Linked DNA regions of Tribolium castaneum. Each later gene encodes a partner of the first gene's protein in a complex. Links are inferred from orthologs where the notes say so. Each region holds a gene or a part of one and is shown on either strand. Other genes may lie near its edges. The genes, in order: Ing5 and Eaf6.

Evidence for each region.
Region 2: Ing5 (region 1) and Eaf6 share a complex: the UniProt entries of both Drosophila melanogaster proteins name them as parts of the enok complex. The link is inferred for Tribolium castaneum from reciprocal best matches to the Drosophila melanogaster genes Ing5 and Eaf6.

Annotation. Positions count from the first base shown.
Region 1 is NC_087398.1:9,636,854-9,640,579, forward strand, and holds Ing5 (inhibitor of growth protein 5), read left to right. Parts: upstream 1-1,274; 5' UTR 1,275-1,563; coding exon 1,564-1,600; intron 1,601-1,649; coding exon 1,650-1,840; intron 1,841-1,889; coding exon 1,890-2,046; intron 2,047-2,093; coding exon 2,094-2,273; intron 2,274-2,430; coding exon 2,431-2,579; intron 2,580-2,630; coding exon 2,631-2,732; 3' UTR 2,733-2,897; downstream 2,898-3,726. Other genes in the region: cuticlin-1, read right to left, coding at 1-78; myd (45 kDa calcium-binding protein), read right to left, coding at 3,463-3,726. UniProt on the Drosophila melanogaster protein: Component of the Enok complex which has a histone H3 acetyltransferase activity.
Region 2 is NC_087398.1:15,238,992-15,243,247, reverse strand, and holds the start of Eaf6 (chromatin modification-related protein MEAF6), read right to left. Parts: upstream 2,902-4,256; 5' UTR 2,761-2,901; coding exon 2,683-2,760; intron 2,596-2,682; coding exon 2,392-2,595; intron 2,337-2,391; coding exon 2,300-2,336; intron 1-2,299. Other genes in the region: peroxisome biogenesis factor 2, read left to right, coding at 3,073-3,183, 3,232-3,648, 4,158-4,256. UniProt on the Drosophila melanogaster protein: Component of the Enok complex which has a histone H3 acetyltransferase activity. Might be involved in transcriptional activation of selected genes.

The DNA.
Region 1 (3,726 bases):
ATTGTTTTCCTCAGAACTGTATGAATGCGAGATTAGGGCAACAATAAAAAGTTTTGGAAATAGGCGCGATCGAGACATTTTTTCTTATAAATTTCGACTCATTTTTGTGAGAGTGCAGGAAAAATAGTGCATAACAAACACACGACCGCAGAGTTTCATCATGAGTAATCTTTGAAGAGGTAAACGAACTCGCGGATGTAACCTTGACTTTTTCATTCCGTTTACAATTATTTACGACTGTTATCCAAATAATTTTGTCTTTAATCGTTTGGTTTAAATAAAATACAACCCTTATTGTTTTTTTTTTGCTATTTTAACGCTTTCATAAGTTACGAAAAATATCCTTAAGTGAGGAAGTAAGGACAGTTTGTATTATCACAGTGAACAAACTAGAAAAGACTCTAATTTTTTTTAAATTTATAATCGAGTTCGTGTTCTTGGAGGCATTTTACAGGCGATGGCGTCGTAAAATCATGTGAAACACCCTGTCTGTGGGCGGGGCGGGAGCTTAATATTTGGGGCACGTGCCATACACCAAAATGTGTATTAGGATTACAAAAAGTCAAGGTCTTTACATTCTTATGATTCTGCTCCAAAATCCAGTTTTAAATTTGCAATTTTTGGAAGTTGTTTGTAGGCAATCACCTATACAAAGGAAAGTGTTGTGGATTGTCTATCATTTAGTTTAAAATTTTAACAAAGTTTTATCAGTTTTATAATAATTTAAAACCAAAATGTGTGTGGAGGAGCACAAAAAAAGATTTTTACATTTTTGGATAGATCAAATAATCATTGTCCAAAATTGATTTTGAAGTTTTCCAAGTTTCAGAGCAAAAATAATTTCGCTATTGCAGAGGAAATTAAAAAGGTTTTTACATATTTTTCCTCTACATTTTTGTGATCCTGTATCAAATTTCAGTTTAAAATTTTGAAAATTATTTGGAGGCAACCATCTATACAAGGGAAAGTGTTGCGAATTGTCTATCGTTTTTGGGGTTTTTGTCAATTAAAACAACGTGTATTTACTGTTTTCGTATTAGTCTTTGAATATGTGGAGAAACTGTAGTAATAAATCACTAAAAAAAGTTAAATATGTAAGAGAAACACCACATTCAACCACACGATGTAAACCGTTTTCTTCAAGCAACGGGTGGTTCGTCAATCAGTTTAACCATCCTGTAAGTAGATTGCATAAATAACGATTCTGGAGAGACAATTTCCATAACGCGCCGTTCCCATAACGCAGCAAAAAAAGTGAACAAGGTTGCCACGTGGGGACGTTCAAAAAAATAAATCAGCATTTCTCCAGTTATATAAATTGTTTTTGTTATTTATGGGTGAATTGAAGAAATTGAAGTAAGTGTTCGGTAATTTTGTCCTTTTGTTTGGATAATTTTGATTTTTTAAATTTTCTGGAACATAGTGAAATGTGGCGACGCTGGAACGCCGTTGTCAAATCTGACAGCTGTCAGCGTCGTTTTTGTAATGTGTTGTTATTATTAGCGCCAAATAATAGGATTTTTCTTACGAATTTGAAAGTTTTGAAGAGTATTAAGTGCTAACATGACGTCTGCCTTGTATTTGGAGCATTACCTGGACAGTAAGTGTAAATAACGCGTTCAAGAGACACGTAATTGTAAAACTTTCAGGCTTGGAACATTTACCAATCGAGTTGCAAAGAAATTTCACTTTAATGCGGGATTTAGATTCCCGGGCGCAAGGTTTAATGCAAAATATTGACTCTCTATCCGACAATTTTTTGAGAAATCAGAAAACCATTAGTCCAGAGGAGAAGAAGGAACAACTGTTTAAAATCCAATCGTTATTCAACAAAGCAAAAGTAACGCGAGAGTTTAGTTAGTTTATTCATAAACTGTTACCTTTTATAGGAATATGGTGACGATAAAGTCCAGTTGGCAATTCAAACCTATGAACTAGTTGATAAACACATTAGGAGGTTAGACAATGATTTAGCGAGGTTTGAGTCTGAAATTCAAGACAAAGCTCTGAATTCCCGCAACCAGGATGAGCCCTCAGTTGGCAAGAGTAAGAGAATTGCTAAGTGAAATGTATAGTTACTGTAATTATTCCAGAAGGTAGGAAAAAAACCAAAGATGGTAAAACGGAGAAGAAGAAACGTCCTGGTAATTCAAGTGAAGAAGACTCGACGGGAACAGTTCGGGGCACAAAGAAGAAGAAGCAAAAGGGGGCCGGTTCTACTGGAAATAGTGGCAGTACTACAGGCAGTGGCGCCAAAGCTGCCCTAGGTGAGGGTTCGTATCATCTCATTGCCTTTATATCTCACAATACGGAGGCCTAACATACAATAATAAATCAACTGAAATGCCATTATAGGCCTCCGTGTTTACATGACGCATAAATCCATATTTCCTTCGTTTACAGACAGTGTTTGTAATAATTTTATTTTAGCCACTGATTCAGTCTCTGTACTGCCAGGCTTAGCTGGAATCGCACATCCGAGCGACGTTCTGGATATGCCTGTCGATCCAAACGAACCAACATATTGCCTTTGTCATCAAGTATCATACGGAGAAATGATCGGTTGTGATAACCCAGATGTAAGAAATCAAATTCGTTTTGTGTGCAAATTAATTTTTAATAATTTTCAGTGCCCTATTGAATGGTTTCATTTCGCTTGTGTGGGCTTGACAACTAAACCCAAGGGTAAATGGTACTGCCCTAAATGCACACAAGACAGAAAGAAGAAATAATGCATCGATGCGTTAAAAGATTAGACAATTTTTTATTTTAACTTATTCCTTAAGTTTAAACCGTTTGAAAACATGGTTTTGTTACGAAATAGCAATAATGCATTTGTTATTTTATTAAATTTATATCGTGTGAATTATTAAGGAAATAAACGTAATTTAAGCATTTGTTGTTTGTTTATTTATTGGTAAACTATCTTCCCTTTCTTGAAAATCGATGAGTAAAAAAATATTTCGTTATTTGAGTTGAGAATACGGATATCTAAAGGTTAGGAAATGGAACGACGTACGAATTAAACGTTCCCATCCTCGATAGTTCCACTAAAATCGCCAGGGAGCGCAGTTGTTTCATTACTGTATAACAGTTAACATATAGCAAACAAAAAAATAATATAAAAAAATTAATGGAATGGTTGGATTTAAAATAAATTAAAACTTTTTGGCGCTAAGACGACATGACGCTCAAACCAGAGAATACTATATATTTCTTGTCTAATAAAAAAAAGAAAATATACGTAATTTAAGCAACTGGGGTTTCTTCCTTGCTAAATTATTTTTAGTGTCTTGGAAAAAGATGGGTGAAAGAAATTCGCATTATTTATTCTTTATTTGAGTTGAAAAATATCTCTTGTCTAACTAGAAGAAACGATTGAGTGTCTAGCTAAAATAGCGTCTGCATCTGCTTAAAAGCACAGTCTTATATTCGTGATTAACTGATTAAGAACTAACTCTTTCAAAATTCATCGTGAAAGCTTCGCCCGGTGTCAACCATTTTCGATTTTAAAAATAGGTCTGGATGTGCGAGTATTTCATCGAGTGATAACATATTGTCATGATCCCCATCGGCCAACGCTAGAAGGGCTTCAGCTTCGTGTTCACTGTGTCTAGGACTTTGCGGTGCAACGTAATGTAAAAGCTCTCTCCTATCGGCTCGACCGTCTCCGTTCAAATCAACAGATTTGCGAAACTCGGCTCGTCTTTCATTTTCGTCTTGTCT
Region 2 (4,256 bases), about 5.6 Mb from region 1:
ACAAAAACGATTTTTAGAACTAATCCTGAACTAGTACAGAATTTATTTAAAGCCCATGTGTTACAAAACTAAATCCACATAGTTAGGATATTTTTTACCCTACTTCCCTCCAGTTTGGAACGCCCCTGCTCAAAATTTCTATAGTTAATTTTTTTGTATAATCAACTGTCAGTGTCAAAATTCTGATAAAGACTGTAACACCCTAAAAGTTCATGTTCAACCACTTTAGAAACTGGCTGTATTCTGTATTTGACAGTTTGAACACCAGATTTGACATTTTTGAAAATTGGACGTTAGTGTTAATCGTTAATTCGTTACTCTAAAGGTGGTCTAAAATAACTAAATGTGTTGTTGTACGTCTTGTAAATTGGAGACAACTTGAAAAATTTGGAAATTGAATTTTCTAGGTAAAAAATTACACCAACCTTAATTAAAAAAAAATACTATTTATGATAATGCCAACCTGACAGCTCTTATTACATTAGATTCTCGAATTCGATTGGGAATATAAAGATTATTAACTGTATCAAATATTGTAATATTATCTGTAATGGTTTCTGAAATATTGAGAAAAACTCACTAAAAGAAGCACCCCTCGCTACTGTAGTTACATAGAAAAACCCCTTGTAATAGTAATTCTGACTAAAATGGTTTTACTGTGTAATGTTCTTGCAGACATAATTAACGATAAAATATACAATTAAAGAAGTAAAAAATATTTTTATTCGTTGTTCCTCAAAATGTTCAAAATGTCTTTCAATTTACTTCCAGATGAACAACGTTTACAACATTTTTGTATAGTGATTAAAATATGTAATTCTCTGATTGTTTTTTTAATAAAAATACTTACGAGTATTTTGTTTATTTCATTTTAATGAAGACAAAAAATGTAATTCGATCATCCGATTGGAGAACCTCTTGCAATAGTAAGTATTTCGAATTATAATAGGTTTTAGTGTATTTTTATATAGTTTATGATAAAACAAACAATAACATTAAAACAACTAAAATTAAAAAATAGAAACTTGATTTTTTTAATCAAATTTAAATTTTAAATAATATGTTCAAAATGTCTCTAAACGTAACTGCCTGTTATACATATAAAATTGAAACATGCTTTTAACAGGCTCACTAGGTATATTTGTTTTTCTTTTAATACAAATACTTACTTTTGCTTATTTAATCATTTTAATTAAGAGGAAAAAGTTAATTTGGTAATTCTAAAAACCTCTTGCAATAGTAATTAGTGCGCATTATAAAAATTTTACTGTATATTATTTTGGCATGGTTTATGAAAAACTAAACAATAGAAATATAAATAAAAATATAAACATTTGATTGTCCTAGTGTTCGTTTTACATAAAATGGTCATAAAAAATGCACCTAACATCTTGCGATTTAAATCAAGAACTGACAACCTTTTTGGGTGGAATTGAAATACCGTATTTACCACCACTATTTTTATTTTAATTTTAAGCAAAATAGTCCCGACAGGGACTCCTCTATGATCTTTTGTGATAATAATAATATTAGTAATAATAAAATACCTGTCAATTAACTTTCTGTTGAACGAAGTGTTGCAATGCAAACAACAGTTTTTATATAAAATTACAATTCTCTTAACAGGATCACTCTAAGTTAAAAAAAATGTTTCTTTTTATTCGTTTTAATAATAAGAGAATAGTTAATTCAAAAAATATCAGTCCGAATTTATTAGAGGTTTATGATAAATAATAACAATAAAATAAATAAGTAAAAAAAATATTTGTTTGTTCTACTCGGTATATGTCCCTATGAAATTTTTTAAATAAAAATACTTATTTTTTTTTATTCAATTAAAGTAAGAGAAAAAAGTTAATTCGATAATCCGAAGAACCTGCTGCAATAGAATTCGTTCGGATTATAGAAGTTTTACTGTTGGTGAATTGTTTTTGTAGGGTTTATGACACAACTAACAACAAAACAAATAAATAAGTAAAACTAAATGTAAAATGTTCAATATGCCTCCCAATTTACTCCCTGTGGGAGTTGTAAGCAATGAAAATAAACTCTAAATTATTGTAATATTTTGTTTCATTGCTTGCAAAATTTGAATAATTTTAGAGTAAAACATTTACAGAGCTATTGGAATGTCTCTCATTTTTCCAGTGCATATAAGAGGCAGTGACCAAACTAGAGAAAACATCTATCTAGAAGAAAGTTCACAGCAAAACTACCACAAACACTACAAAAAAGCTACAAAACGAATACAAAAAAAACTAGACGTATGAATGATTTTTTATTTCATAACTATTCTTACTTTTCTCCTGATTTTGGTCAACAATTCCACTAACCGCCTGTAAAACGTTCATTAAAATACAAAAAAAATACACAAAACTCGTCCCAACTCACAGCCATTGAGGTTATGGACGATTTAGAAAACAGACGTTCGGCTTCTTTAAATTTCCTATTTCTTTTATCAGCCTTAGAGTTTGTTGTTTTGTTACTCGATAAATACCGATCCCAGCCTCGAATTATATTTCCATACAACTGAGTGTCTTCTAAATAGGAACCTTCAAACGCGTAAATTTGGCGCTCGAGATTTGCTAACGTCTCCTATAATTGGTTAAAGACCGCGAATTTAAGCCAAACAGAAAAACATTTCTTAATACAAAGCTTCAACATTTATAAAGTAACTCTTACCGCAATTTCTGCTTTTCTTTTAACAAGTTCTGCTAACTCTTGGCGGGCATCCACCGAAACATTGTTTTTGGCCGACATATTGTTCTTATTATCACAAAACGATAAAAGGAAACGTTACACTTGTAAAGTCGTTGTTTTATGCTAAGTGCCTCAAGTAATTACACTAAAAATTGTTTATTTCCAACAAAACACCTCACAACTTGACGTTTCGCCAAATGTCAAATACGTCACCCGTGACGTCGCTGCCAACATAACAACCCGAAAAGTTCCACAAATTCTGAGGTTATGATCATTATGAAATAATTAAAAAACAACAAATAGTGCCAAAAATACAAATAGTTGCAATAAATCAACATTCCAAACGCTCAATTTGTCTAAAACTTGTGCAAAATGTCCAACGATAAGTTACTGAGAGTCACCCAAATGAACGCAATTTTCCTTGATAATGAAATCTACAAAGCCCTTATGCGAATTCTTCACGAGACTAGCCGTTTCTTACCCGTAAGTGCCCCCTTGTTAAGGTTTGGTTGCCTGAAAGTGTAATTTTAGCCTGGTTATATAGCCCCCATTGAACCTGAGTTGGGCCTAATTGTGCGTTTAGCGCTTCTGAAAAATTCAGTCTGTCGCAATGAGAGCACTTTTGGGCAACAACTTTTATCAATAAAGTACAGCAACATGTCGAATTTCAAGAAAATTCTTTACTTGTTTGGGAACTGTTTTGATTACGTTAAACATCGTCTCGAGTTCTGGAAGCCCTCGCATAAGGTTAACACGTTTATGTTTAAGATACACATGGTTTTAGTTTTATTGAATTTTATCAATATGTCCATATTTCTACGACGTGGGGTTAAACCGTTATTGATAGAAAGGTGTTTGGGTTTGAACCAAGAGTACTCAACCAAAACTGCTCCAAGGCATTTTGAAGCGAAATATTTATCTAGAGAATTACTTTGGAATGGATTTATCGTAAGAATTCTTTCAATTTAATTTATTTTTCCGTTGATTGTTTAGATAACCATAGTAATTATAATTATACAGGGTGTCTCACATAACTTTACGAGGCCTGCGCCAAATGTATACATACGCACCCAAATATTCAAGAGTCACAAAACACTAGATACAAAAAATTCACATTTGATTATTTATTTTGTGGAAACCCGTGACAGTAATCTGTTTATCTTAATCACTAATTGACTAAAAACGTAATTTTTTGAAGGAGTGAACAAACAAGAAAAAACAATCCAGTTTTTCAAAATTTGTAATCGAGTTCGTATATCGGAATATGTGTTGTAGGTGGCATTTTAGAGGCGCAGGTCGCGTAAAATTATGTGAAACATCCTGTATTATTTGTCTGAGATTAGGCAATCAACTGTGCAATTTTGGAATATTTTACTTTTTTTAACGAATCAAGAACAATGAACGGAAAAATTGGTGCAATGATTAATCGCTTGTTGGTGCATCAAGTACTTTTCCAGGATGTTCTTATTCATATAATCCCACTAATTAATTACCACAAAATTAAGAGAACAATGAGGCACTTTAATCCATTCCACAAAAAACCTACTTATGTTGTC